Linked DNA regions of Macaca mulatta. The protein of the gene in region 1 interacts with the protein of each later gene in a biochemical or structural test. Links are inferred from orthologs where the notes say so. Each region holds a gene or a part of one and is shown in the gene's direction. Other genes may lie near its edges.

What was found.
Region 2: of the proteins of LRRK2 (region 1) and MAP2K6, one has a biochemical effect on the other in vitro, tested with the Homo sapiens proteins (2 studies listed by BioGRID). The link is inferred for Macaca mulatta from reciprocal best matches to the Homo sapiens genes LRRK2 and MAP2K6.
Region 3: of the proteins of LRRK2 (region 1) and RAB8A, one has a biochemical effect on the other in vitro, tested with the Homo sapiens proteins (2 studies listed by IntAct). The link is inferred for Macaca mulatta from reciprocal best matches to the Homo sapiens genes LRRK2 and RAB8A.
Region 4: the proteins of LRRK2 (region 1) and YWHAZ interact on a protein array, tested with the Homo sapiens proteins (3 studies listed by BioGRID and IntAct, with this or other methods). The link is inferred for Macaca mulatta from reciprocal best matches to the Homo sapiens genes LRRK2 and YWHAZ.
Region 5: the proteins of LRRK2 (region 1) and GAK interact on a protein array, tested with the Homo sapiens proteins (3 studies listed by BioGRID and IntAct, with this or other methods). The link is inferred for Macaca mulatta from reciprocal best matches to the Homo sapiens genes LRRK2 and GAK.
Region 6: of the proteins of LRRK2 (region 1) and RAB5B, one has a biochemical effect on the other in vitro, tested with the Homo sapiens proteins (2 studies listed by IntAct). The link is inferred for Macaca mulatta from reciprocal best matches to the Homo sapiens genes LRRK2 and RAB5B.
Region 7: the proteins of LRRK2 (region 1) and ANKS4B interact on a protein array, tested with the Homo sapiens proteins (2 studies listed by BioGRID and IntAct, with this or other methods). The link is inferred for Macaca mulatta from reciprocal best matches to the Homo sapiens genes LRRK2 and ANKS4B.

Annotation. Positions count from the first base shown.
Region 1 is NC_133416.1:47,107,867-47,112,025, forward strand, and holds part of LRRK2 (leucine-rich repeat serine/threonine-protein kinase 2), read left to right. Parts: intron 1-3,034; coding exon 3,035-3,144; intron 3,145-4,159. UniProt on the Homo sapiens protein: Serine/threonine-protein kinase which phosphorylates a broad range of proteins involved in multiple processes such as neuronal plasticity, innate immunity, autophagy, and vesicle trafficking.
Region 2 is NC_133421.1:79,169,150-79,173,308, forward strand, and holds part of MAP2K6 (dual specificity mitogen-activated protein kinase kinase 6), read left to right. Parts: intron 1-951; coding exon 952-1,000; intron 1,001-1,584; coding exon 1,585-1,698; intron 1,699-3,426; coding exon 3,427-3,546; intron 3,547-4,159. UniProt on the Homo sapiens protein: Dual specificity protein kinase which acts as an essential component of the MAP kinase signal transduction pathway.
Region 3 is NC_133424.1:16,584,946-16,589,899, forward strand, and holds the start of RAB8A (ras-related protein Rab-8A), read left to right. Parts: upstream 1-1,897; 5' UTR 1,898-1,910; coding exon 1,911-2,034; intron 2,035-2,384; exon of another isoform or gene 2,385-2,976; intron 2,977-4,954. UniProt on the Homo sapiens protein: The small GTPases Rab are key regulators of intracellular membrane trafficking, from the formation of transport vesicles to their fusion with membranes.
Region 4 is NC_133413.1:111,303,894-111,308,052, reverse strand, and holds part of YWHAZ (14-3-3 protein zeta/delta), read left to right. Parts: intron 1-626; 5' UTR 627-637; coding exon 638-931; intron 932-4,159.
Region 5 is NC_133410.1:956,289-960,447, reverse strand, and holds part of GAK (cyclin-G-associated kinase), read left to right. Parts: intron 1-1,023; coding exon 1,024-1,147; intron 1,148-4,159. UniProt on the Homo sapiens protein: Associates with cyclin G and CDK5. Seems to act as an auxilin homolog that is involved in the uncoating of clathrin-coated vesicles by Hsc70 in non-neuronal cells. Expression oscillates slightly during the cell cycle, peaking at G1.
Region 6 is NC_133416.1:63,132,539-63,136,697, forward strand, and holds part of RAB5B (ras-related protein Rab-5B), read left to right. Parts: intron 1-1,437; 5' UTR 1,438-1,526; coding exon 1,527-1,689; intron 1,690-4,159. UniProt on the Homo sapiens protein: The small GTPases Rab are key regulators of intracellular membrane trafficking, from the formation of transport vesicles to their fusion with membranes.
Region 7 is NC_133425.1:21,170,622-21,174,530, forward strand, and holds part of ANKS4B (ankyrin repeat and SAM domain-containing protein 4B), read left to right. Parts: intron 1-2,640; coding exon 2,641-3,730; 3' UTR 3,731-3,909. UniProt on the Homo sapiens protein: As part of the intermicrovillar adhesion complex/IMAC plays a role in epithelial brush border differentiation, controlling microvilli organization and length. Plays a role in assembly of the complex.

The DNA of each region.
Region 1 (4,159 bases):
TAATGATGAATTTAAGGTATTAAGGTAAATTACTCCTTCATTTAATTTAATTGTAATTGTTAATTACTATTTAAAATAAAGATTAAGGTTTGTTTCTAGATGCCATTTAACATGATATTCCGGGCTGTCAGTTTTATTTTCGAAGTTTATTTCATATTTTATTAATGCTTCTACATAAATGACAGTCTTTAGAAAATTGGTAGTTAAGCTGCTTTATATTTTTCTTTTCCTGCCCATCGTTTCACTGTGCTCCTAAATTTTACATCTCTTTATTCTCACGGTTTCAACCTTGAAGAAGGGGAGCAAAATAAATGAAAGTGGCTAAAAATTTTTCTTTAACCCCTAGACTCTTTCCTGTTGTGCCTTAATTACATGCTTGAGTTTTTAGAATAATTATAATAAAGTAAAACTACCAATTTAATTGTATTGTAACCGTGCAGGATGGGAAATTTCTCTCTTTGAAAGATAAGCTTTTAATTGAATAGATTAATGGATCAATTGTTACCTCTGCTTTGCTGCCAGAGATTCTGTTTCATCACAGAAGTTCCATGTAGTACTGGAGAGCTCAGTTGCCTGAATCTTTTTGCAAAGCACTTACTTATGCTGTTGCTTCACCAACCAGAACAAAACAGGTTTTTTCCTTGAGTCAGCTTTGTAGGTATAGGGATGAGTTTGGCATCCTATGTGATTTTTTTCACCACCAGAAGCTGTTCAGAATGTTATTTTCTTAAATACTTCGGAAAAAAGTCTTGATGTATTTTATGAAAGCACAAAAATAGTTGGTTTCTATGACAGCTGGATTGTCAATGTCTGTTCAGCTTACGTGGAGGAGGATGTCCTACTTAAGTAGTATAGGTAGAAATAGCTGTCAGAAATTGCTGCCTTTGAAAGCAATTTGAAATTATGTAAAAGGAAGTAATGACGAAATAAAGCAATTTCTGTTTAATCTGGAAAAGATCCAAAAGTAATATTGTAAAGAGATCTTGAGTAATCATTTTTATCTTCCTAAAATAACCCTTGTTTACTCCTGCAAACAGGTAAGAAACTTGTGCCATTATTCCTTATTGGATGCATATAGATTTCTCACCTTGTCATTCAACTCCTTGCAATGTTCAACTTTACTTATGCATCCAGCCTTATCCCAAAATAGCCTCTTTCCTGTAGCGGCTTCCTTATTATGTAGCAGCCTACTCTCCTCACCACTCAACAGTTCTTATACAATCTGACTCAAGCTCTCCCTCTTCATATTATATTCTCTGAGTAATTTCAACTCACACTGAATCTTACTTTCAGTATTTCTATTGTATTGGTATTTATTACACATCACACTTAGGTACTTTTCCATAAGTCTCTAGAGGGTGGTGTGTGAGTGTGTGTGTGTGTGTGTGTGTATAAATGCACTTTCTTTTTTTTTTTTTGACCATGTCAAGTATAGTTCTATAGTATAATAGAATTGGAGATCCTTTACATTTAGAGAGGAGTCTACAATAGGAGGAGTAGGTTAATTTTAATCTGTGGTTTGAAATCAGGACTTTCAATTTTTTTTTCAGAGGTAAAGAGCAACTTAGGCAAGTTGGCATCTTGTAAACAGACTGAGTGAAGATATACTTAAAATGCATCCATAATTTCATATTTTATTTCGAAATGTGAAAGAGCCTACTAGGGGTGTCTGTATCTCTAGACCTTATCAATTCATTCTAGAGAAATCTAGAGGGAGCCATTGAGGAGTTCTACCTCCTGTCTATGTTATAGAGCCCTTTCTTTTTTTCTCCTATCAGATGTAGAGTCAATTGCTAAAAATGCCACGTTTCTTGCCTCTATTATTCTAGCTTCATTAATTGGGGAGCAGCCATTCTGATAACTTACATTTTGCTACTAAAATTTTCAACTTGCCCTAATCCTTCATTTTAAGCCACTTCATTTTTTCCTATAATTAAAAATTTAAATATGTGGAGGAAATTCTGTCAGGTAGCTATTACTTAAAACCTACTAAGGGCCAGGTGCGGAGGCTCACGCCTGTAATCCCAGCACTTTGAGAGGCCACGTCAGAAGGCTTGAGCCAAGGAGCTTGAGACCAGCCTGAGCAATATAGAGAGAGACCTGTCTTCACAAAAATGTTTTAAAAATTAGCTGGGTGTGGTGGCACATACCTGTAGTCCCAGCTACTTGGGAGGCTGAATTGGGTGGATCACCTGATGCCGTGAGTTCTAGGCTGCAGTGATCGGTGATTGTGCCGTTGCACTCCAGCCTGGGTGACAGAGTGAGACCCTATCTCAAAAACAAATCAAAACCAAAAAAAAAAAAAAAAAACAAGAAAAGAAACGTACTAAGGATCCAGTATAGCCGTTCTTGCACTTAATAATCTTGGTACAACCTCTAAAACTATTTTTTGTAGTTTATTTTATTTTGCCTTAGACAATAGGCGTGTCTATGTTCTTCAAAATTTAGAAATTATATATATTTATGTGTGTGTGTGTGTGTATATATATATATATATATTTTTTTTTTTGGAAATGGAGTCTTGCTCTGTCCTCCAGGGTAGAGTGCAGTGGCGCAATCTCGGCTCACTGCAACCTCTGCCTCCTGGGTTCAAGTGATTCTCCTGCCTCAGCCTCCCGAGTAGCTGAGGTTACAGATGCCTGTAACCTTACCACCATGCCTGGCTAATTTTTGTGTTTTTAGTAGAGACGGGATTTCACCCTCTGCCATGCTGGTCTCTAACTACTGACCTCGTGATCCACCCGCCTCCGCCTCTCAAAGTGCTGGGATTACGGGCGTGAGCCACTATGCCCAGCCGAAATGTTATATTTTTTGTATGTCTTTCTGGTCTGATTTTTGGAGAAAGGTGTATCCTAAGGATATGGCTTGCTTTTGTTTCTTGGTAAGCATTTTAGGGTATCATTTTGTTTTATAACAATTATTTACAAGTGAGATAAGCATATATTCCACTAAGACTGAAGAGATTCATGTTTGACTCAGTATGTTCTATTAACATTCTTTAAAACACGTGAATATATGTCTTTCTTGTTTTCAGGTGGGTTGGTCACTTCTGTGCAAATTAATAGAAATCTGCCCGGGTACAATGCAAAGCTTAATGGGACCCCAGGATGTTGGAAATGATTGGGAAGTCCTTGGTGTTCACCAGTAAGTATGATAGATATGTAAAAACAAACTGCCTTGAGTATTTATCTATACACATAAAAACCTTCCCTTGATACACTGAATTTGCAATCCAAGGCTACTCTTGTGAAATTCTTTGAAATACAGATATTTTTCCTTGAGTCAATGATTTACATTTATAGAGAGCTTTAAACTCAGAAGTTTGATTTAGAAAGCAAACATTTAAGGTAACATGTCAGGAGTTATTTTAATAATATAATCATATAATTATAAAACTGGTTAACTTGTAGATTTTTGATGAGTACTTTTGCATTCAAACCATGAAGATATTTTGCCCTTTAATAATAGAACTGATACAAACCACTAGTTCCTAAAAAAATGGGAACTGAGAAAAGTTAGTTCTGTACGTAGTAATTTGAAAGTTGATGTTCTGTCTTTAAATGGTACATTTATATATATTCATATATATACACAGTAAGTTTAAACTACGGCTTTCAAAAAGAGTAAGAAAGAGGAAATTACCTTTCAGCACATCTGCAGCCAAATCTTGATGACAATTTTACCAGCTATGTTTTTGCAGTTTGCAGCATAATGACTTCTTAAATGAGACTACTTCCTTAGCCACAATTAATTAAGAAAACCTTTTCTGAAGAAGAATGTGTTTTCAGGAAAATACATTATTTCTTGACAGTTAAAAAATATCTTCTCAGCTACTCGGGAGGCTGAGGCAGGAGAATCACTTGAACCTGGGAGGCGGAGGTTGCAGTGAGCCGAGATTGCAGCACTGCTGTCCAGCCTGGGTGACAGAGTGAGACTCTATCTCAAAAACAAACAAACAAACAAACAAACAAACCTTCTGTCATTAACTTTAAATCTTTTTTATACGTAATGTGACTTTTCTTTACCACAGAAAAGGAAATTGTGAATATATCTGGCTTACAATGGTATACAGTTTATGAAAATTTAATTTATGAAAAATTTTTAGGTGTTTATATTGGTGATCAGTATCAAGTAGTGCTACAAATTTAGACAAATTAGA
Region 2 (4,159 bases), on another chromosome or scaffold:
TTGTTTCTTAAAACAATTGTGAGACATGTGGTGAAATAATTATATGTATTGGTGCTCTTGGATGAAAGATAAAGCTTGAGACTTACTACTCTAGCACAATGACCTGTATCAGCAGTCCCTAACCTTTTTGGCACCAGGGACTGGTTTTTTGAAAGACGGTTTTTCCATGAACTGGGTGGGGGGATGGTTTCGGGATGATTCAAGCACATTACATTTATTGTGTACTTTATTTCTATTATTATTACATTGTAATACATCATGAAATAATTATACAACTCACCATAATGTAGAATCAATGAGGGTCTTGAGCTTGTTATCCTGCAACTATATGGTGCCATCTGGGGGTGATGGGAGACAGTGACAGATCATCAGGCATTAGATTTTCATAAGGAGTACGCAACCTATATCCCTCATATACACAGTTCACAGTAGGGTTTGTGCTCCTATGAGAATCTAATGCCACCGCTGATCTGACAGGAGGCAGAGCTCAGGTGGTAATGTGAGCGATGGGGAGTGACTGCAAGTACAAGTGAAGCTTCTCTCCTTCACCCACCACTCATCTCCTGCTGACTGGTATTAGTCTGTGGCTTGGGAGTTAGGCACCCTGATCTATATAATCACACATATGAATTAGATATTTATTGTATGCCAAACATTCTGCTAAGCATTTTAGTTGTATTATCTCATTTAATACTCACTCCTGCTTCACAATGTAGGCATATTAATATCCCCCTGTGAAAGAAGAAATGGAGCCCCAAAGAGATTAAGTAATTTAAACCCAAATGTAATTTATTTCAAATCTCCTCTTATTCACACTCATATGCTGCTTCAGTTTACTCATGAACTTCCACTTTCTTTTTAAGGAAAAATACCCCCAGTGGCGTGTGATTTGGGAAGGATATAATTGACTCATTAGCTTATGTTTATTCTTTTCCCCCTTATCTTTCTTAGACCACCTCGAGATTTAGACTCCAAGGCTTGCATTTCTATTGGAAATCAGGTAAGAAAAAATCACGTCTGCCAGCTAATACGTTGGCCATTTTATATGTATGCTTTGTTTCCCCTAGCATGCTGTCAGGGGATGAGTCAAAAAACATTTGCATTTAAAGGGAAGTGGTATGCAAAGTTTTTGCTATTTTGAAAAAATGTTGAATTGAAATCAGGCTACTGTGGTTTTGATGGAAGGCATTTGAAGAGAGTAGATGGTTCTCTTGGGACGGTGTTTCTCAAAGCTCAGACATAATCTAGTTGCCATCAGTCAATAGTGGGTTACAGACACAATGAAGGGTCATGGCTAAAGAACTGCAGTGAAATAGCTTCAACTGAGACATAAGCAAGCTGAATCCAAGTTGTGTTTCTGTGTTGCCTGGGACAAGCAGGTGGGCTACCCCCGTGGGAGCTCCTAGACATCTCTTGGCCCTTCTTGTAGCTTCTTGCTTTCAGAGGCTGCTTTGACATGCTAGAAAATCTTCTGGCCCAGAAATAATCCTCAGAATATTGAGAGAAACGAGATAGAAGATAAGGTGCTCTCTGTTCTGTTTATTTTTCTCTTTCCCATTGCATTATTCCTTTTCTCTCTTGCAGAACTTTGAGGTGAAGGCAGATGACCTAGAGCCTATAATGGAACTGGGACGAGGTGCGTACGGGGTGGTGGAGAAGATGCGGCACGTGCCCAGCGGGCAGATCATGGCAGTGAAGGTAGAGTTGACATTCTCCCAAATGTTTTCTATCTGCTGTGTATACATTTGTCCATCTCAATTGTCAACCAGCCCTTTTAATAGAAGCAAAACCATCTTCCGTAGGGTAAAGCATAAAAGATTATTTGGAGGGAAGAATATTTTCCTCAAAAGGTATTTTGGAAAAGGCTTCCTTGGTGTGAGTTGTATCTACTTTTTATTTGTTGGTTTTTTTTTGTTTTGTTTTGTTTTTTAACTCTTAACTCACCCTCCATCCATTCTTTCACAATTTTAAATTTTTACAAAACTACCATGTCATCATCACACTTAAAAATAATTAATGGGCCAGGCATGGTGGCTCATGCCTGTAATCCCAGCACTTTGGGAGGCCAAAGCAGGTGGATTACGAGGTCAGGAGTTCGAGACCAACCTGGCCAACATAGTGAAACCCCATATCTACTAAAAATACAAAAAATTAGCCGGGCATGGTGGCACGTGTCTGCAGTCCCAGCTACTTGGGAGGCTCAGGCAGGAGAATCACTTGAACCCGGGAGGTGGAGGTTGTGGTGAGCCAAGATCATGCCACTGCACTCCAGCCTGGATGACAGAGCGAGACTCCATCTCAAATAATAATAATAATAATGATAATAATAATTCCTTCATCTAATCCACAGTCCAAGTAAAAATTTCCTTGATCATCTCAAAGTGTGTGTGTTTGTTTTGTCCTTTTGGATTTTCAAATCAGCATCCCAACGAAAGTTTACGTATTGCATTTGGCTGTTATGACTCATAAATCTCTTTTATTCTATATTTTGTTGCTTTTAAAGAGTTGCCCCTGAAAATCAAGAAACCAGAATTGGGAGAGAAAATTGTCTCCATTTGTGGAAAAAGGAGGGTAAAATATATCTAGGGTCAATCTACGTAGTTTTTGAGCTATGAAAGGAAATTTAAAATCATTTCATATTATTGAGTAGATGCTGGGAGGATCACAAAGAATTAACATCTCTAGTTGAGTTAATAGATTTGGGCCATCGTTAGGAATAATCAAAGGGACTTGGATCCCTTTGCTTTTGAAGAATGGGAATACTTTTATCTTGTAGATTTTTCAGTCTGTTCTTCTGCTGACTTGCTAAGTAGGCAAAAAGCGTGAAGGCCTAGTGATATTGTATCTCTCCTATCATTTAATGACATAATCATGTTTCTGTAAGGCTACATTTGCTAGTGTGACAGATTTTTCTTGCCACAGAAGCACTGGGATAAAGAATGAACGGTTTCTCTATTTCTCTCTAATTCCTTCCGTTTCCTATAGCTGTACCAATTCTCTTACAGTTACTTTTCCCTCCAAATACTCTTACCTGTTCCCAAAGAAGCGCTTTTGGCTTTTTATTTTCTTGGGACCTCAGATAAGCAGCAAAGTCCTTAATATTGTGTCCTCTTTGCACTGAACAGACATAATACAGTAAACCAGATTGTTTTTGTAACTTGGAAATACATTCCAAAATATTTTGTCACTCTCCAAAACATACTATCAATTTGTTTCTTACCAAGACTGTTCAGGAAATCAAATGAGTAACAGCCTTCCTTATTTTCATGTGTTACAGATAGCTAATCACTTAGGGTGGATATTCACAATGTTGTTGCTAGAAGTTGTGTTATGAACTGTACTATTTTCATGATGGGACTCCTTCAGGTCCCTGCCTGCCTCATCCTCAGAGTAGTAACCATAAATTTTCCATGCATTTGCATTCAGCGGATTCGAGCCACAGTAAATAGCCAGGAACAGAAAAGGCTACTGATGGATTTGGATATTTCCATGAGGACGGTGGACTGTCCATTCACCGTCACCTTTTATGGCGCACTGTTTCGGGAGGTAGGTGACCCTTCAATTCAAAGTCCAGGGAGAACAATAACGTAAAAAGAAGTTTCTTTGATCACGTAAATGCCATCACAATCATGGAGCTCTTTCTTCTTTGACACATCTTGTATAGGGGGGTTTACGTGTGTGCAATGATGACATGCCCTGGGGCAAGGTTGGATTGAAATTATGGTATTTTCAAATGTGGTTAGCCTTTTTCAGATGCAGAGATTCTCTTCTCCTTTCTTTTTTTGTTTTGTTTATCTTGGCAGAACTTTCTATATCGCCTATAGACTGATTTGCATAGATCTCTTATAATTGGAAATATTCTGGTCTTTGGACTGCTTTAGGAACTTCATCTAGCCTACTTGTGTACCATGTAGACTTACTTTGATCTCTTTTCTCTACCTCTGTTTTTCACTTCACCATGATATGAATTATGAGGCTTCACCTCATTAAAACCAGCTTTTTGACTGACTATTGCTGTTGTTTAGTGTGAGAGATCCGACAGGGAGTAGGCATCTAGACCTAACTCCTAGACAGTGGTATCAGTAAAGGCCTGGATTTCTGGGGTTTTATTGCTTATGTCTGTTAGTAATTAGATTCCATTTTTCATTAAGGGGTAGGA
Region 3 (4,954 bases), on another chromosome or scaffold:
GCCCAGGCTGGTCTCCACCTCCTGGCCTCCAGTGAACCTCCACCTCAGCCTCCCAAAGTGCTGGGATTACAAGCGTGCTAACCACGCCCAGCTAATTTTATTTGTTGTAGAGATGGGGGTCTCCCTATATTGTCCAGGCTGGTCTCGACCTCCTGAGCTCAAACAATCCTCCTGCCTCAGCCTCCCAAAGTGCTGGGATTACAGGCCTGAGCAACCACACCCAGCTGCAAGCCCGATTTTCCTAATGTATCTCTCCTCTTTTTCTTTTCTTTTTCTTTTTTATTTTTTTTGAGACGGAGTTTTGTTCTGTTGCCCAGGCTGGAGTGCAGTGGCACGATCTTGGCTCACTGAAAGCTCCGCCTCCCGGGTTCACGCCATTCTCCTGCCTCAGCCTTCCGAGTAGCTGGGACTACAGGTACCCGCCACTACACCCGGCTACTTTTTTGTATTTTTAGTAGAGATGGGATTTCACCGCGTTAGCCAGGATGGTCTCGATCTCCTGACCTCGTGATCCGACCGCCTCGGCCTCCCAAAGTGCTGAGATTACAGGCGTGAGCCACCGCGCCCGGCCTTTTTCTTTTTTTGAGAGGCTTCTCGCTCTGTCGTCCATGCTGGAGTGCAGTGGGACGATCACCGCTTACTGCAGCCTCAAACTCCTGGCCTCCCAAAGCACTGGGATCACAGGTGGCAGCCACAGCCCCGGCCTGTTTTTTCAGTGTTGAGAGTCCTGGCCCCTAGATAGGAACAAGCATCCTCACTGTTCTAAAGCATCCTCACTGTTCTAAACCCCCCGGGCTGGCCCGGACAACTCCTAAAGCGGCCGAGGGCGGACCCTGAGGAGGCCGGCGCGCGCTTCGGGGCATAGCTTGTGGCGGTGAAGCCGCTCAGGTGGCGGAGGCCTTGGGTATCTGTAAGCAGGTCGCTAGGCCGCAGACCTCGGAACTCGTCTTGGGTCACTTTTATTTATTTATTTATTTTTGAGATGGAGTCTTGCTCTGTCGCCCAGGCTTGAGTGCAAAGGCGCGATCTCGGCTCACTGCAACCTCCGCCTCCCAGATTCAAGCAATTCTCTGCCTCAGCCTCCCAAGTAGCTGGGATTACAGGCGCCCGCCACCACGCCCGGCTAATTTTTGTATTTTTAGTAGAAATGGGGTTTCACCATCTTGGCCAGGCTGGTCTTGAACTCCTGACCTCGTGATCCACGCGCCTAGGCCTCCCAAAGTTCTGGGATTTCAGCCACCGCGCCCGGCCCGGGTCACTTTTCGAGTATACAGTGTCTCCTCTCTCCTTCCTCCGTCGGCCCCCGCTGCCCCGACTCGGAGGCCGCAGATCAGGTTGAGAGCGCTACCATGGTTTCCCGCGCTCGCCTCGGGGCCTATTGCGCCTGCGCGAGTTGTGACGGCGGGACCCAGAGATACCCGCCCCAAGTACAGGATTGCGCCCTCTGCCGTCGCCTAACGGAACTCCGGGCGCTCGTGCGCACGCACCCCAAGCCCCGCCCCCCAGGCTGCCGGCGCGCGAGCCGTTGGCGACGCTCCCTGCCTTCCCTCTCCTGTAGTGGGGCGGGGCCGGGGCGCCCGAGTAGGGGGTGGAAGGCGGGGGCCACATAATGCCACGCCCCCGCCTCGTCCCCATTTGAAGCCCCACGACTCTTCACTGCTGGTCAATCAGAGCCCGTCCTCTCCCTAGTGCCGGCCAATGGGAGGTGCGCTCGGGCTGCTTCCGGCTCCGCGCTCCATTCGCCCCCTCCCCAGGTCTCCCCGCGACTGGCGGGACGCAGGGGCGGGCGTCGGCCGCGGTGACGCGCAGCGGGCCTGGAGCCAATAAGGGGCGGGCTCGGCGCTGATGGACGGTGCTGGTGGCCAGTGGAGAGGCGCTGGCCGCACTTCCCGTCGGGGAGAGAGTGTAATATGGCGAAGACCTACGATTACCTGTTCAAGCTGCTGCTGATCGGGGACTCGGGGGTGGGGAAGACCTGTGTCCTGTTCCGCTTCTCCGAGGACGCCTTCAACTCCACTTTTATCTCCACCATAGGTAGCGGGACCGGGGAGTGGCTGGGGGCGCCAGAGGCCCGGGCTGGGCGCGCCCCTGAGGGGCTGGGGCTGAGGGATCTACCGGGCTGGACTGGCCGAGGGCGCTGAGAGGGTCGAGGGGGCCTAAGGGGAGAAGAGCAGTCGCCTGTACCGCCGTTCGGAGGTTCCTGGGCCGTGGTGGGGGAGACCAGGTGCCCATTTTGCAGATGGGGAGACTGAGGCTCCGACCCTCAGCCCGCTCGTTAGGGAGTGTTATGTCCTGGGCTGGGGTCTTCGCGCCCGTCCTCTCGATCTGTCCTAGCAGCAGCCCTCAAAGCGGTTCTTTTGAGGCTCCTGCCTTACAGAAGTGGAAACTGAGTCATGGGGAATTGGCCATGGGAAAAAGACGGTGACATCTCACCTTAATGAGCATTTACTATGTGCCAAGTGCTTCCCGTGCATTTTCACACTCTCCAGTTCTCGGTGTTAAGTGCTGTTTTGAGCCCGTCTCACAGATGAGGAATTTGAGGCTCAGGGTGGGCCTGGAACTTGCCCAAGGCCACACAGTCTGCAGGTGGTGAGAATGGGATTTGATGGAATTTGAACCTGGCTGTGTCTCAACCCAAAACTCGAGGCTTAGCTATCCTAGAGAGATGCCACCTCACACTCCCAGCTGATGACAAGCTCAGCTAATGCACCTTGGAGCCGGAACTGTAACCCACACCATTCCTGCTCTTTTCTCTGGAGTATTCAGAAGTTGAACCCCTCTCCCTGACCATTCTTCCCCTCATAAGTGTATTTTCCTCTAGAAGGAATGATAAGAGGAGTCAGGACCTTTTCCCTGCCCACATTTCATCCTGCTCCAGGATGACAGTAATGACAAGTGACAGCACTGCCTGCCCTGGAACCTGTCATCTGCAAGAAGATGCAAGATAAAAGCCTCAGCGAGCAACTAAATCAGCCACTGCCACAGACAGCCTTGACTTCCCTATCAAAGGGCCCAAGACTCCGGTTGTCACTTTAGAACAGCTTTTCCCGTAGGGCCAGCCCACATTGTGGTTGAACAGAATTGGCTTGGTGCATCTCAGTTGTGCCGTCTGCAGAAGTGGAACTGACCTCTCTCAGTGCCACAAAAGCAGTCCTGGCCCACAATGAAAAGGTTAGACCGGGGAGTAACACCAGTCTGAGTGGCCTGGGAGCTCTGTAGCCCTGCTAGGGATGGGGAAAATGGGGGAACGGTCACTAAGGAGTTTATTCCAAGTCACGAAAACGTAGGGAATGGCCTTTGCTTTACTGTGTCACTTCAACAGAATCATGTTTTCTCCCTGAACCCCACGATAATGTGCTGATTCCATTCTTGCCCCCCTCCAGGAGCTGTGCTTTTTTTATTTTATTTTATTTTATTCTATTTTATTTTATTTTATTTTTTGAGATGGAGTCTAGCTGTTTTGCCCAGGCTGGAATCCAGTGGTGCTATCTCGGGTCACTGCAACCTCCGCCTCTCGGGTTCAAGCAATTCTCCTGCCTCAGCCTCTCTAGTAGCTGGGACTATAGGCACCCGCCACCACGTCCAGCTAATTTTTGTATTTTTAGTAAATATGAGTTTCACTATGTTGGTCAGGCTGGTCTCAAACTCATGACCTTGTGATCCACCTACCTTGGCCTCCCGAAGTGCTGGGATTACAAGCATAAGCCACTGCACCCAGGATAGCTGTGCTTTATAAAACAGTTATATGCCTGATGTAAAGTAGAGAGAACTGACTGGAAATCGTTACGTCTGGTTTCCAATTGCTGTTTGCCCTTGAACATACACTGCCCCTCTCTGAGCCCTGCTGTCTTTAGAGCAGGAGTGACGCTGTCTCCTGGGCTAGTGCCCTGGTGGTTGAGGATTAGAATTAGACAATAAGGGGTTATCACCGTAACCAGAGGCCATCTCGAAGAAGCAAATGAATGAATGGCTCCTGCAGTGACAGCATCCAGCCTCTGAAGACAGATGGTTCTGAATTCTTCCCCCTCCCCAACTCCAAGGCCAAACTTTAGGGTAACTCTTGTGCCCCAGCCGATCAAGAAGTGGCGTTAATTCAGCCTGGGCAACATAGCAAAACCCCATCTCTATAAAAAATAAAATAAAATTAGCCGGGCATACTGGCTTACCCGTATAGACCCAGCCACTTGGGAGGCCGAGATGGGAGGATTGATTGAGCCCAGGAGGTCAAGGTGCAGTGAGCTGTGATGGCGCCACTGCACTCCAGCCTGGGCAACAGAGCGAGACCCTATCTTAAAAGAAAGAAAGAAAGAAATTATGTTAACTGTGGGCAGACTGTGGCTTGCCTTCACTCAGATCCCAGTTTCCCGGCCTCAGCACCTTCCCCACAAACCCCCCCTCTTTTTTTTTTGAGATGGAGTCTCGCTCTGTCACCCAGTCTGGAGTGCAGTGGCATAATCTCGGCTCGCTACAACCTCCGCCTCTCAGGTTCCAGCAATTCTCCTGTTTCAGCCTCCTGAGTACCTGGGATTACAAGTGCCCACCACCATGCCCAGCTAATTTTTGTATTTTTTTTTTTTTTTTTTTTTTTAGTAGAGACAGGGTTTCACCACGTTGGCCAGGCTGGTCTCGAACTCCTGACCTCATGATCCGCCCACCTTGGCCTCCCAAAGTGCTGGCATTACAAGCATGAGCCACTGCGCCCAGCCCAGACCCCCCCTCTTTAGAGTTACTTTGAGCTTTAAAGAGGCTGTCTTCCATTTGCAGATGAAGATGTGACTTGGTGAAAGTTACCTAGCAAGGTGAAGGTGGCACCTGACCCCAGGATCCCTCCCTCTCACCCCTTCATTCCCCTCCTTCCATTTGTAGCCTTCTGTCTTCTAGGAATTTCTTTTTTTTTTTTTTTTTTTTTGAGACGGAGTCTCTGCCGCCCAGGCTGGAGTGCAGTGGCCGGATC
Region 4 (4,159 bases), on another chromosome or scaffold:
AAAATATCTGAAAACAAACAGTTTGGTCATTCCTCCCCCCAAATTGTTATGCTATTATTGGCTGGCAAATGTTGCAGAGATCTAGTAGGTTTGGGGTGGGGGTAACACTAAAACTAAAATTTAATCACTCCTGACGAAAGTATTATGAAAGTAAAAAGACATGAGTTAAACTGACAAGAATTATGATTCTGGAAATATGATAGAAATCCAGATGTTCTCTGTAAACAATGCTTTTACTATGGAAGAAAAGCTGCTTAATTTCAGATCACTTAGTGGTATTGGAAATGAGTTGAGATTTTGGTCAAGTAAGATTAGGGGTAAGTTTTTGAGGCAGCTTTTGAAAGTAATTTTGACCTTATGTGAAATCTGTATCTTCTGAACAAATTTTAGTTTTGCTACACTGATGTGTTAATGGCTGAAAGTTTACCTCTGATGCTGAGTATGCTGAATTTTTTTTCCTTTTCTGACTATCCTTTTGTGAAGCTGCATTTTAATTCTTCATGTGAACAGTCTTCCACAGGCAGTTAGATTTCAGGTTTAAAAAACTCATTTACCACAGGTATAATTTTGAGTCTGTTTATTTTGATGGGAAAAATTTTAAATACTCCTTTTTTTCCCCCCTGCAGAACATCCAGTCATGGATAAAAATGAGCTGGTTCAGAAGGCCAAACTGGCCGAGCAGGCTGAGCGATATGATGACATGGCAGCCTGCATGAAGTCTGTAACTGAGCAAGGAGCTGAATTATCCAATGAGGAGAGGAATCTTCTCTCAGTTGCTTATAAAAATGTTGTAGGAGCCCGTAGGTCATCTTGGAGGGTCGTCTCAAGTATTGAACAAAAGACGGAAGGTGCTGAGAAAAAACAGCAGATGGCTCGAGAATACAGAGAGAAAATTGAGACGGAGCTAAGAGATATCTGCAATGATGTACTGGTGAGAATCAATTGAATCTGGCTTCATTATACTGTAAGGTTCCTATGAGTATCAGTTACATTACTCTCAACGTTTTCTTCGGTTTATCTTTTCCTTCTAAACATTGTGTGTTCAGATTTAAAAGTCTTCATGGTGTCATAACTAAAAAGATGTTAAGACAATTATAGATATGTGTATGTAAAGTAATTGTAATAATGATGATGAAACAGTTCAGTTTTAAAAATAACAGACTTTAGTATTATTGAAAAGATAAACTAATAGTATTACTGCTTTACTTATGGTTAGAACATTTGTGGTAGCTCTATAGCTGGTTATCTTAAATGTACATCTATGGATAAAGGAATTTTACATATTTTATGTAAGAGAGATGTAATAGGATACTGATTGTAGAAATAGTACTCTTCTCAGGATTAGCCGCTATAATGTTAATGTAATGAGTCAGCCATGCAGAAAACTCTGGCGTCACGACTATGAAACCTCTTTCCTGCATTGAATTCTTGAAAATAAATTTTGAACACTCGCAACCATGATGAAAGGTTATGAATAACTCAAGCTTGATTTTTCCAGTTTGAATCGAGTATTTTAAGTATTCAGTACCTACTGTGTTGAAGCACTACGCTTAAAATGATTAAACTACATTTTGGTTAATTTTAATCTGTCATACAAAGTAGGGCTTTTTGATCAAGAATAGTTTAAATTTGAGGATAAACTAGTAGAAAATCCAAGCTGGCAGTTTTTGGAATAATATTTAAAGTGATTTTGCTAAATGGTTACACTTAACCAGTATGGCAGGACTCTGATATACAAAGAGGGGCAGCAGCATCGCGATTTTTCTGGACAGGTTACTGAATGTGGGACTCAGTATGGAAATCCAGGTGTGTTACTTACTATATGAACCTTATTTATATGGAAGAAGTACTGTAATGAGCAATAGGATAATGTCTGATGTGGTTGTGGGTTTGGGGTTTTTGTTACAGTTGTGATGATGCTATCATTTCTTTACACTTGTATTTACTAATGGAATAGCATCAATTCCTAAACTGTATTTTTCTCAAATGATACTTGACACTGTCTTTTAAAATAATAGTGATTTTTTAAAACATGCTTATTTGGGTTCACAATCACAAACTCAATGAGACATCTGTCTTGGGGCTTTTTTTTTGTTGTTCTTATTGAAACCTTTACAATGATAGCTGTTATTTGTATCTAAGTTGAAAAAAGGAATATCTTGCTTTTATTGAGGCCAAGTGACAAATACCTATCTTGTGATTTTGCTAAGGTAGTAAGAATATTTAAATTTTGAAAATGTGATTTTTTTTCTATAATAAAAAATGTATTGGGTTTTTTTTTTTTTTTTTCCTTGCTCTCCTTACTAATATCTGTGTAAGTGTAACTCAGTTTTGTTCAGTCTGGTGTTACACTTGATCAAAAAGTTTTTATTTGGGCTTCAAAGGATATGTTACAAGTTAACATTTCCCTTAAGACAAAAGTCAATTTTAGGAATAAAAAGGAATGTGACATTTACCTTTTAATAACACGCTTATTTGCAATACCAGGTAGGTATGTGCATGTTTTCCATATACAAAGTATAAAAGTTCCTGTCATTGTGAGTCTTCTCCTGGGAAAAGACTTGTAGCAGGTTTGTTTTTTTGTGTTTCTTTTGAGACTGAGTTTTGCTCTTGTTGCCCAGGCTTGAGTGCAATGGCATGATCTTAGCTCACTGCAACCTCAGCCTCCCGTGTTCAAGCAATTCTTCTGCCTTGACCTCCCTAGTAGTTGGAATTACAGGGCGTGCGCCACCACGCCCAGCTAATTTTTGTATTTTTAGTAGAGATAGGGTTTCACCTTGTCGGCCAGGCTGGTAACCAGGTCAGGTCTAACTCCCAACCTCAGGTGATCCACTCACCTCAGCCTCCCAAAGTGCTGGGATTACAGGGGTGAGCCACCATGTCTGGCCCAACTTGTAGCAGTTTTGACTATGCTTCCCTTTGGTTTCCTTATCAAGAAAAATTTTTTGCATAGAACCAGTAGATGAGGATGACAAGATAATCTCTTAATAGCTTCTTGTTGTTATGATTATTAAGGAGTTTGATTCTGGTCCCTACTCACATCGTTACCCTCTAGAATAGCACTGGCTTCTTAAAAAGTCTAAATGGTATTTATACTTTGAAAGTTTGGATGAATGAGAGTTTTCTTTACTATACAAGTGGGTTCGAAGAGAATTCTAAACAAGCTTTGGCTTCCAGCCTTAGTCTTTTTAAGAGTAAGACTTAGTGATCTTTGCATACTCAGAACGTGTAGTAGATGCTCAAATATTTGTTAAACAAGCAGAAAGGCTTTTTTTGAGAAAGGATAGAATTAGGTCAGCAGCACTGCAAAATTTCCCTGGCTTTTTCTTTTTCTGCTTGGGAAAATTTGATATTTACAGATAATAGGCTTCTTTTTCCTACCATCTATTTCAAATAGGTCACATCGACTCTGGAAACATTGCATAAAATTCCTTTTCCCCTTTTTAGTGAAATGGAAGAATAAAGTGTAGCAGAACTGGTATTTCTACTAGAGAAAGTTTTTGAATCATTGTTACTTAATGATTATTAAAAATATTTTAAATTATATATTTGAGATCTTACATGGTAAAAAAATCAATTATAATTTTTTATTACTCCAGCCTTTTCTGGGCTTTGAGAGATATATATGTATATACACATATACATATATATATATATACACACACACACTTTAATTTGAGAAAAATAAGCAGGTAATCCCTTTGCAGAATTAATGGTATTGGCTGGTGGCATTAGTGATAACCAGATTTTTTATATTGAGCACCTATTTTATAATAGCTATGAAAATATACTCTTCCTACAAAAAGCAGCTAATCTCCAACGTTCTGAGTTTTTCTGAAGAACTTTTTAGTAACCCATTTTGGTTACATGTATTTATCAATTGTTTAACCATTTAATAAGCAAAGAGCTTGGACCATGTTGCTTATTACAAGAGTTAATAGAGCATTACCGTGGAAAGTGGTCACTGGCATGTTCTTCACAAGGTGGACTTTTCATTATGTAAAAGAACTTCGAGTTCTTCTCTTCCATGTGTTAATTTGAAACTGCAATATGTGAACTAATGCAATCTGCCTTTCCTGCCAGATGCTTAGACAGAAACTCTCTTGGTAGTTGGGGAGGGACTCAACACTAGCACCTCTTTAAACCTGAAAGATGGCAG
Region 5 (4,159 bases), on another chromosome or scaffold:
CAAGACCCCAGCATAGATCACGTTGTAGTGTCTGGCACAGCCCAAGGCCCCAAGGAAACAGACACCCCTTTTGGGGATGGAGGGGGCGTCCCCGGTTCCTTCCCAGGCGCTGGGGATGAAGGGCCAGGCCTGCTGTGGGCAAGGTGAACCCTTCACTGCAGCAGCGACCCTGAGGCCGGGGTGCAGGAGCAGGCATTGGATGGCGGAGGGCGGTGGGGAGACAGTTCTGCCACTAATGTGAGGGGGTCCCTTCTGCCACGTGAGGAGTGGGCACCTGTGATGGGCCTGGGTGTCCCTGGAGGGCCCTCAGCTGGTGAGGAGGGGAGAGGGCCCTGGAGACAGATGCTGCATGCTCTTGGGACTTTGTGCTGCGAGCACTCCAGAAGGTTCTGGGCCATTGAGGACGTGGCCCTGACAGGCAGCGGCTGGTTATGCAGCTCTGCATGGCCCTGACCCCTCCCGACCTTGCCCCCCATCCCCACTGGGGTGTGGGAGGTTTCGCCTGGGTCCTTCAGCTCTGCTTCCTAGGGAGGAGCTCGGCTCCATGTCTGGGGCACCCCGGTCCATGCAGTGTGGGTCCTGCACATGCAGGTGTGGTGGCTGGCTATGTCTCTGCTGGCTGGAGGAAGGGTGAGTCCTCGAGCTGCTGGGTTCTGCAGTGCCCCGTCTGCTCGGTGCTGCCAGGGGCCACCACTCTGCCTTCACGTCCAGGGTTATGGTGACCTGAAGCTGTGGCCGTGAGGCCGGCCTATCCCCGCAGACAGAGTCCCAGCCCCAGCTGTGCTGAGGCGGCCGCATAGCCCTTCCGCACCCAGATTGGCCACTTTCTGGGTCTCTGGAAAGGCTGAGGACAGGGTCAGACCTGCCAGTGCTGAGGCCTGGCTTGCTGCTGGGTACATGTGGGTTGGGGGCCTGGCCATACCACCCGCTCCCTGCTCTCGCTGCCTGGGCCCAGCCAGCAGCCCGCGCCTGGGGAGGTGGGACGGAGCACCTGTGGGCTGCTGAGACTGTGTCTCCCTGCAGGCCTGGCCCTGGCGGAGTACGACCAGCCCTACGGCGGCTTCCTGGACATTCTGCGGGGTGGGACGGAGCGGCTCTTCACCAACCTCAAGGACACCTCCTCCAAGGTCATACAGTCCGTCGCTAAGTGAGTGTGAGGCTCCAGAGCCCTGGACCTGCCGTGTGCTCGTTCCAGGCTGCAGCCCCGGCGCTTGCTCCCTGGCCGCGGTGGAACAGCTGGTCATCAGGCCCCACAGGCGCCCCTGAGGCAGTGGGACAGCATCACCCGCTTCTCCCAGGGAGTCGGAATGAGCCCAGCACCCCACAGAGCCGGGCAGATCCCTTTCCATTGACCGCCTGGGGGGCAAGGCCCTGCTGGGGAGACGCCTGTGCCCGCCCCTCCCTTGCTGTGATGACGCCCCTCACTCTGGGGCCTTCCTGGGTTCCCGGGACTCTCTGGTGTGAACTGGGTGAAACAGCTGTGGTGGCGCCTCACTGAGCCAGTCCCCTGAGTTAAAGCCCTAGTTACTCAGACTTAGGCCAGGTGGGTCCCGGCCTGTGGTGGGAGAAAGTCTTCCTCTGGGTGGGCTGTCCAGGGGCGCGTCTGTGTGGGAGTGGCCCCTGACATCGGCCCACAGGCCCGGCAGCCTCTGCTCACAGAGCACTGAGAATGTTCCAGAGTGCGGCCCCTCTGCATTGCGGGGTCCACATGCTGGCTCTTCTGGAGGAGCTGGGTGCCCGGGAGCATGCTGCACTGCTCATCTGGCCCGGTGGTCGCACCAGCTCAAGGGCGTCGTGTGTGTGTGTGAGCCGCGTGCACCTGTACGCATGTGCGCGAGTGCCTGTGAGTGCGTGTGAGCCGCGTGCACGTGTACGCATGTGCGCAAGTGCCTGTGAGCACGTGAGCCACCTACATGTGTACGCATGTGTGCGAGTGCCTTGTGAGCCGCGTGCACATGTATGCCTGTGCGCGAGCCGCCTGCACGTGTACGCATGTGCACGAGTGCCTGTGAGCTGCATGCACGTGTACTCGTGTGTGTAAGTGCCTGTGTGTGTGAGCTGCGTGCATGTGTAAGCATGTGTAGGAGTGCTGTGTGAGGGCCTGTGTGTGTGAGCTGTGTGCCTCTGTGTGTGCTGCATGTTTGGGTGTGTGAGCTGTGTGCCTTGTCCCTGTGCAGCTTTTTGTGGAGAGAAACTTGTTCTTAGTGGGCCGTCCCCAGAGCAGGGCGTGAGCTCGCTCACACCTCTGGGTGCCTCCTCTGTGACGTCTCCTGCCTGAGTTGTGACTGATGGAAGATCAGAGGCAGCTCTGTCTGGTCCCAGCGCACTGCCCACTGGGCCCAGGAGTGTGGCTCCTGCAGGGTCCTGACGGGTGGCACTGCGTGTGGAGTGCCAGCGGGGCCAACCATGGACCCATGGGGATGAGCGATTCTCCAGCATCATCTTGGTGATAGTGATGTTGGGATCAGAGTGGAAACGGACAGAGAGGATGTGGCAGCAAAGCCATATGTGAAAGTCAGCAGGAACAGTCACTTTCAGTGTCAGTAGAAAGGGATGGATGTCGGGCCCCAAAGCACCCCAGACTGGCTGGTTCCCCAGAAGACTCATGGTCTCCTCGGCCACAGTGCATTGTGGGGACAGGCAGAGCGGAGTCAGCAGAGGGAGGAAGCATGTGGGGTGTCCAGGGCGCCAGGCACAGCTCCAGGGTCCTCCTTGGGGGACTGCAGGCCACCCTCCCTCCCCAGCAGCTGTGGGGATGGTGGGAGCTGCTGTCTGCCAGAAGCCTAAGGCTGCAGGGGCTGGTCCTAGACATGGCTCTGCTGGGACCCGTGGGTTCCAGGCCCTAGGAGGACGCAGTTTGGCTTGAGCGGGTGCTGCTTTCACGGCGCTCAGGCACAGCCAGCTGCTGCTTGTTAGGGGATGGTGGGAACTCTCCCCACACCCCCAGGTGCTAGCTGAGGGCAGCCCTGCTGTTTTGATCTGCTCTCTGTTCACACCATGTGCTTGAGGCAGAGGAAGCTGCATAAACTCGTGTTTGTAAAGTTGACTTGGAAGCCACGGTGAGTTCTGGCCGGGCCTGGAGGCTCAAAAGATGGCTTGGCACGGTGACTTGGCACGGTGGCTCATGTAATCCCAGCACTTTGGGAGGCCGAGGAGGGAGGATCACTTGAAGATAGGAGTTTGAGGCCAGCCTGGACGACATAGCAAGACCCTGTCTCTACAAAAATAAAAAAACTAGCTGGGCAAGGTGGCGTGCCGCTGTGGTCCCAGCTACACTGGGGGCTGAGGTGGGAGGATGGCTTGAGCCCAGGAGGTTGAGGCTGCAGTGAGCTGTGATTGTGCCAGTGCACTCCAGCCTGGAGTGAGCAAGACCCTGCCTCAATTTAAAAAAAAAAAAGGGACAGTGAGTTAATTTGTGTTTCTGGCTCTCCCCAAGGAGAAGCCTGGGAGTCAGGACCTGGGTGGCCGCGAGCCCCTGGCTGCCCTGGTGCTTGGTGTTCTCTGGAAGCTGGGGCGTCGGAGCCTGAGCCCTGTGTCTGGGCCTTGGTTTCTCTCCTGTCAGTGTCCAGGGGAGCCCTAACACACACACCCCCTGGTACACGTGCCTGAGGCCAACACAGCCAGGTGCACGGGGCCCCCGCAGGGCTGCTGGGGTGGGTGAGATGTGCGTGGATCCTGTGGCACTCAATGCCCACCTTTGCTTAAGGCGTGTCAGCTCGCTCTGGTTGCCGCTGCCCCCCGTGGTACAGGATCTGTGCGGATTTCACCATGTTGGCCAGGCTGCTCTCGAACTCCTGACAGGTGATGTCCCCGCCTCGGCCTCCCGAAGTGTTGGGATTACAGGCGTGAGCCACCGCACCTGGCCCTTATTTTTGTTTTTCTGCTGGTGATTAGATTATGGGTCCAGTAGCCATGCTTCATGTGGCCTGTTTGTCTCTTGCCCAGCGTCCTGTGCTGCAAAAGTGGCCGAGCGTCAGGCTCACCGTGCCTCCCGGTCTTCCCTTGTTGCTTTGGAAGACCCACATCCTAAGTCAGCACCTGCTTTGTGGGTTTAGACAGCTTTTAAAATGTTTGAATGCACGGAAGACCCACGTCCTAAGTCAGCACCTGCTCTGTGGGTTTGGACAGTTTTTAAAATATTTGAATGCAGTCACTTTCA
Region 6 (4,159 bases), about 16 Mb from region 1:
GGTTTTTGCATGCTCTGCCCATGCTAACTCCCCTTTGAATTTCATAGCTCCTTTCTGCTCAGAGTCAGGATGATGAAATGTATTCAGATTTAGACAATTAGAATCTCAAAGTCCCAACTCTTCTCTCTGTTCCCTGCCCCACCAGCAGCTTTCTTAGCCCTCTTAGAAGATAGAGGAGTTGATTCAGTGTATTCTTTCATCAAATATTGATCGCTTGCAGACTTATCCCTTATACCATCCTCTGGAGACTCCTGCATGTCTTTAGAAGGTATACCTTTCTCTGCCTCTAATTTGGAGGGCTACAGCTGTTTGGCCCCTTTGGTGTGGAGGGTAATCTAATCCCTAGGCACCAGCAAGACAGCTGCAGGTTGAGAGTAGGTCAAGCTTACTGACTCTTGATAGGCTTTCAGATTTGGAAAGATGGGAGAAACAAAGTGAAAAAAGTTGTTAATGAAACAAGGAGTTGATAATGAATGTGATCTGTTGGTTGTATTTCTCTCCTTCAACCAAAAATGAGAAAGGATAGATTTTCTGGCAATGGGACCCTGGTTAGATCTTTAGAAATGTCTTATCAGGGAGACCAGTCATATATAAAAGATGTATCAGCATCTACCCTTCTGCCCTTAGGAGGGGTGACTCTTATCCCACACCCCTAGAGTGAATCTCTCATTTTGACAGAGAGCTAAAGAAAAAGGAAAAGAAGGCCAGGCATGGTGGCTCACGCCTGTAATCCCAGCACTTTGGGAGGCCAAGGCGGGCGGATCACCCGAGGTCGGGAGTTCAAGACTAGCCTGACCAACATGGAGAAACCCCATCTTTACTAAAAATACAAAATTAGCCAGGCGTGGTGGTGCGTGCCTGTAATCCCAGCTACTCGGGAGGCTGAGGTGGGAGAATTGCTTGAACCTGTGAGGCAGAGGTTGTGGTAAGCCAAGATCATGCCACTGCGCACCAGCCTGGGCAACAAGAGTGACGTCTCAAAAAAAAAAAAAAAAAAAAGGAAAAGAAGAGCACAGCACCAGGATGCCAAGGAGATACTGGGGATCTAGGGTACCTGTGGGTGGATCTGGATATTCTTCAGGCCAACTAAAGGCTGATCACTTTGTGTGACTCAAACAAAAAACCTTGAAGATATGGTGGGGAATTACTGGGGAATTAAAAACTCTCAGTTTTCAGTCTCTCTATTTCAGTTCCCTTGGCAGTTAGAGATTATGTGGTAGGGCAGACTCCAGAAGCAGTTCTTATTTTGCTGTTGCCAACTCTTACCACTGAGGGTCAGCTGCCTGGGACCTTCTCAGAGGTATAACCTGTCAATAGCAGATGACTGCAAGAGCTAAGTCCTCATAGGAGCAAGGAGATGAAGAGATTCTATCCTCCTCTGAAAAGCGATTGCAGCTTCAATGGATGTATGTCTAATTCACTTTTTTTTTCTTGCAGGAGTGTTGAAGCCTGGAAATCCCCTCCCCTTCCCCCCCCCTTTACAGCATTCCCCTCCCTCCACCCTTTCCCACTCTGATAATCTGGCCATGACTAGCAGAAGCACAGCTAGGCCCAATGGGCAACCCCAGGCCAGCAAAATTTGCCAGTTCAAATTGGTGCTGCTGGGAGAATCTGCAGTGGGAAAGTCAAGCCTGGTGTTACGTTTTGTCAAAGGGCAGTTCCATGAGTACCAGGAGAGCACCATTGGAGGTGAGTGTCTCGGGGTAAGAGGAGATTGAATGTTTGGTAAGGGTTTTGTCTTTTTTTTTTTGATGGAGTCTGTTGCCCAGGCTGCAGTGCAGTGGCACAATCTTGGCTCACTGTAACCTCTGTCTCCCAGGTTCAAGCGATTCTCATGCCTCAGCCTCCCAAGTAACTGGGATTACAGGTGCACACCATGGCGCCTGGCTAATTTTTGTATTTTTAGTGGAGAGAGGGTTTCACTGTGTTGGCCAGGGTGGTCTCAAACTCCTGACCTCAGGTGATCTGCCTGCCTCGGCCTCCCAAAGTGCTGGGATTACAGGCGTGAGCCACCGCGCCTGGCTGGTAAGGCTTTTGAAACGAGATCTAAGACCTGATTATGGAGCTGGCCCTCTTAGTTGCATTCTTTTCCCCAGAAATGGAAACCCTTTATAAAAACAGAAGCCGGGCCCAGTGGCCCACCACTTTGGGAGGCCAAGGTGGGTGGATCACCTGAGGTCAGGAGTTTGAGACCAGCCTGCCCAACATGGCGAAATCCTGTCTCTACTAAAAGTACAAAAAATTAGCCGGGCATGTTTGCGGTTGCCTGTAATCCCAGCTACTTGGGAGGCTGAGGCAGGAGAATCACTTGAACCCGCGAAATGGAGGTTGCAGTGAGCCAAGATTGCGCCACTGTACTCCACCCTGGGCAACAAAAGTGAAACTCTATCTCAAAAAAAAAAAAAAAAATTGCGGTAAAATAGGCTGGGCATGGTGGCTCACACCTATAATCCCAGCATTTAGGAGGCCGAGGCAGGCGGATCACTTGAGGCCAGGAGTTCTAGACCAGCCTGGCCAACATGGTGAAACCCTGTATCTACTAAAAATACAAAAATTAGCTGAGCGTGGTGGCACGTGCCTGTAATTCCAGCTACTCAGGAGGCTGAGGTAGGAGAATTGCTTGAACCCAGGAGGTGGGGGTTGCAATGAGCCAAGATTGCGCCATTGCACTCCAGCCTGGGTGACTAGAGCGAAAATCCGTCTCAAAACAACAACAACAACAACAACAACAAAAATTAGCTGGGCATGGTTGCACATGCCTGTAATTCCAGCTACTTGGGAGGCTGAGGCAGGAGACTCGCTTGAACCCGAGGCGGAGGTTGCAGTGAGCCAAAATTGCGCCCGTGCATTTTACCCTAGGCGAAGGAGCGAGACTGTGTTTCAAAAAAAAAATCTGGTAAAATAGAGGCTGGAACTAATGCAAAATACAAAGGGTTTCTGTCTTTCTCATCTTTGCTACCTTTTCCCTGCTACTACCCCAAAATAGGGTGCTAATTCAATAAAGGATCTTTTATGAGAACCTCCATATTATTCCCTCCCCTTGTTATTTTTATTTATTTATTTATTTGTTTTTGAGATTGAGTCTCCCTCTGTTGCCCAGACTGGAGTGCAGTGGTGCAATCTTGGCTCACTGCAACTTCCGCCTCCCAGGTTCAAGTGATTCTTGTGCCTCAGCCTCCTGAGCAGCGGGGATTATAGGCACGCACCACCACACCCGGCTAACTTTTGTACTTTTAATAGAGACAGGGTTTTGCCATGTTGGCCAGGCTGGTCTCGAGCACCTGACCTCAAGTGATCCACCCGCCTCGGCCTCCCAAAGTGCTGGGATTACAGGCATGAGCCACCATGCCCGGCTGCTTTCCCCTTTTTTTAGTCTTCTTCGAAATGTATTCCTGGACCTGCAGCAGATTAGATGAAAAAGTAACAGCCAAATAATATTAATAATGATGGGACTTGCCACCAAGCTTTAAAATCTTCTAATTAATTATTATTTTTTTTGGATACTGAGTCTCACCCTGTTGCCCAGGCTGGAGTGCAGTGGTGCAGTGGTTGCCCACTGCAACTTCCGCTTCCCCAGTTCAAGCAATTCTGCTGCCTCAGCCTCCCGAGTAGCTGGGATTACAGGTGTCCACTACCATGACTGGTTAACTTTTGTGTTTTTAGTAGAGGCGGGGTTTCACCATCTTGACCAGGCTGGTCTCGAACTCCTGACCTCAAGCCATCCGCCTGCCTTGGCCTCCCAAAGTGCTGGGGTTACAGACGTGAGCCACTGCGCCCAGCCAATCCTGTAATTAATTCTTTTGTTTGTTTTTTGAGACAGAGTTCCGCTCTTGTTGACCAGGCTGGAGTGCAGTAGCGCCATGTTGGCTCACTGCAACCTCCACCTCCCAAGTTCAAGCAATTCTCTGGCCTCAGCCTCCTGAGTAGCTGGGATTCCAGGTGCCCACCACCACGGCTGGCTAATTTTTGTATTTTTAGTAGAGATGTGGTTTCGCCATGTTGGTCAGACTGGTCTCAAACTCCTGACCTCAGGTGATCTACCCGCCTCGGCCTCCCAAAGTGCTGGGATTACAGCCGTGAGCCACTGTGACTGGCCCAATATTCTAATTAATTCTTGACGTGACTTTTATCTGAAGCTATTGTGTCTGTCATTTGTTAT
Region 7 (3,909 bases), on another chromosome or scaffold:
GGGTGGAGAGAGAGTCTCACTCTGTCGCCCAGGCCAGAGTGCAGTGGTGTGATCTTGGCTCACTGCAACCTCCGCCTCCTGGGTTTAAGCAATTTTCTGCCTCAGCCTCCTGAGTAACTGGGATTACAGGTGCATGCCACCATGCCCAGCTAATTTTTGTATTTTTAATAGAGACAGGGTTTCACAATGTTGGCCAGGCTGATCTTGAACTCCTGACCTCGTGATCCACCCGCCTCGACCTCCCAAAGTGCTGGGATTTCAGGCGTGAGAGTCTTCTGAACTTCTAACAAACTCACAGGTGATGCTTCTGGTCTGGAGACCAAACTTTGAGCAGCCAGGAACTAGTAGAAGGGTCATGGCGCACTAACAGGTCATTTTCAAGGGTGCAGATCTTCTCTTCTGCTTCTGCCTTCTACCTCCTGGGAATGTTAAGAGGACTTCTCAGACTCACTGTCCTCTTTCCATGGGGCCAGGCTGGCCAGAGTTTAGTGAGATCCTGATTTTGGAGTCTAGACTAGGGCAAAGGAAGGACCCCTTAGTATATGTATTAGGGTTCTCAGCAGTGGTGCATGGCTCTGGACATCATTAAAAAAAAGTTACTCGACTTTTCATCTGTTCCTGTTTGTCACTCAAGTCCTCGTAGGAGAGGACGGTTTGCTGCCTTGAGCAGGATTCCAATAGGTTTTCATTCATTCCGCAAATACTGGAGCACCTACTATGTCCCTGTTCTGTGCCAGGCATTGGGTTTCTGGCCTTAATACCATCTAATAGTATCTTCAATTCCTCCTTAAACTTTTGTAGAATGACACACTTATATGAACCTATAGTCATATGGAAGTAAGTGGAGAAATAAATAGAGATGTAATGCCCTTTTAATGAATAAATGTTTATAACAGGGACTGTTTGCTACCTCCCCAACATCCATTTCTTTCTTCTTTTCTGCTGATGGGGACTGAGTTTGGTTCAGTTATTTATTTCTCCACATGTGACTCAATTCGGGAGGGTAGCAGTAGCATGCTGGAACCAGCTTGTTGGCAGTTATTTCTAAATTTTAGAAAGTTTGGCAGTTAAACATAGCCATTCTTTTTTACTTTTTATTATTTTTATTTAAAAAAATATTTAATGGAGACAGGTCTTGCTGTGTTTCCCGAGCTGGTCTTGAATGCCCAGCCTCAAGCAAATCTCCCACCTCATCCTCCCAGTGCTGGGATTACAGGCATGAGCCACTGAGCCTAGCCTTTTTTTTTTTTTTTAAGACAGGGTATTGCTGTGTTGCCCAGGCTGTAGTACAGTGGTTCAATCATAGGTTACTATAAGCCTGAGCTTCTGAGAACATAGCCATTCTTAAAAATAAAATAACAGGCTGGGTGTGGTGGCTCACAGTTGTACTCCCAGTACTTTGGCAGGCTGAGGCGGGTGGATCACCTGAGATCAGGATTTAAGACCAGCCTGACCAACATGGTGAAACCCGTCTCTACTAAAAATACAAAAATTAGCTGGGTGCTGTGGCGGGTGCCTGTAGTCCCAGCTACTCGGGAAGCTGAGGCAGGAGAATTGCTTGAACCTGGGAGGCAGTGAGCCAAGATCGCACCACTGTACCCCAGCCTGGGCGACAGAGCAAGACTTCGTCTCAAAAAAAAAAAAAAAAGTTTAACCTTTAATTTAACAAATTATATTAACAAGGTTACACAAAAGTCTCACTTTCTACTTATTTTAATACCTTTCACTCTTACCTATCTCTTAAGGTAATTCATGTCCATTATATCTACCTGGTGGAAATGGTTGATAATGGTATGCTACTGTGGATCTCTTCCAAACTCTGTGTCTAGTGATGTCACATTGGTAGCTTGAAATCTGCCATGGTGGATGTATTTACACCACAGAAATTGGCACATGCTACAAATTAGGATTTTGATTTTATTATTTTCTTGAGGAGCCATTGAACAATCCTATGCCTAGTTTCAGGGCAAAATCCAATTGATCTAAGTTAAACACAGTACTATGTTTCACATCTCTTAGGCATGTGACCCAGTGCTGGCCAATGAGACAAGAAAGTTGTTTGGCTGGCGAATTTCTTAGAAAGTTTTTCTTGCTTCTAAAAAGGAGACACAGCCGGGTGTGGTGGCTTACACCTGTGATCCCAACACTTTGGGACGCCAAGGTGAGCAGATGGCTTGAGTCCAGGAGTTTGCAACTAACCTGGCAACATGGTGAAACCCTGTCTCTACAAAAAATTAGCCAGGTGTGATGGTACATGCCTGTAGTCTCAGCTATTCGGGAGGCTGAGTGGGGAGAATAAACTGAGCCTGGGAAGTCAAGGCTGCCAATAAGCTGTGATCACACCACTCCACTCCAGCCTGGGAGATAGAGTGAGAACCTGTCTCAAAACAAAACAAAAGAAACAAACAAAAAGGAGACACAGGTTAGAGATGGACTCTGTTTCTGGCCATGTGGTTTTAAGATGGGACGGTTCTAAGATAGCTGGACTTGCAGCCAGTATCTTACAACAATGTCAAGTCAGGATGAACATGTTTGCATTAACATGCCTTTTGTTCTTTATTTTTGTTTTGAATTGTTGGAGCCCAATTCAGAAAAAAATGCCCAACATGTTTATTTATTTTTTTGTATTTTCTCTTCTAGAGGGGACCCTGATAGGTGTGACATCTGGGGAAACACTCCTCTACATTTTGCAGCCTCCAATGGCCATGCCCACTGCGTCTCATTCCTGGTCAACTTTGGTGCCAACATCTTTGCCCTGGATAATGACTTACAGACTCCGCTGGATGCTGCTGCCAGCAGGGAGCAGAATGAATGTGTTGCTCTCCTGGACAAGGCTGCCACTGCGCAGAACATCATGAACCCCAAGAAGGTCACCAGGCTGAAGGAGCAGGCTCAGAAGAATGCCAGGAGGCAGATCAAAGAGTGTGAGAGGCTCCAGGAGAAGCACCAAAATAAGATGGCCCGCACCTACAGCAAGGAGGAGTCTGGGACTGTCTCTTCTTCCAAGGGTACCTTCTCCAGGTCATTCCCTTCAAATGCTTCTGCTCCTGGCACATTCGGGTCACTATCTAAGGGCATTAAAGATACTTTCAAGATCAAGTTCAAAAAGAACAACAATACAGCAGAACAGGTGGGGAAGGAAGGCAGAAGTGGGCAGAGGAACGTGATGGAAGTGTTCAGAGAGGAAGAGGAAGACTCATTCTCAGGGGACTTCAAAGAGAAGCTCCAGTTGTCAGCAGAGGAGGACAGCAGTGTGCGCCATGAATCCATTCTCAATCGTCCAGGTCTAGGAAGTATTGTTTTTAGAAGGAACAGGATATTGAGTCCTGAAGACATCTCAGATAGCAAGAGGGAGTTGGGTTTTAAACTGCCCAGTGAATTGTTTCAAACACAAGGAACATCAGAGACTGATGAGGGTATAGCTGATGAAGAGGAAGAGGAAAACAGCCTCAAAGATGATCTACCATGGGGTGAGGATGAAGTGGAGTGGGAGGAAGATGTGGTCGATGCCACGCCCCTGGAAGTGTTCTTGCTGTCTCAGCACCTGGAAGAATTCCTGCCTATCTTTAAGAGAGAGCAGATTGATCTAGAAGCTCTGCTGCTCTGCTCTGATGAGGACCTTCAGAGCATACAAATGCAGCTGGGTCCCAGGAAGAAAGTTCTGAATGCTATAAACAGGAGGAAGCAGGTGCTACAACAGCCTGGGCAGCTGGTCGACACCAGCCTGTGATGGAGGGTTTTGGCCTGGAGCATTGGGGTGATGCTGTGGTCTGCTGGCAGCACTCCAGGCAGCACCCCCTCTTTACCCAATGCCAGATCACTGGGAATGGATTCTAGGGCATCGGAGATGCCTACTTGAGAGAGAGGCCCAAACTTTACTCTGGGAGGCCCATCCAAATAAATCTCCAT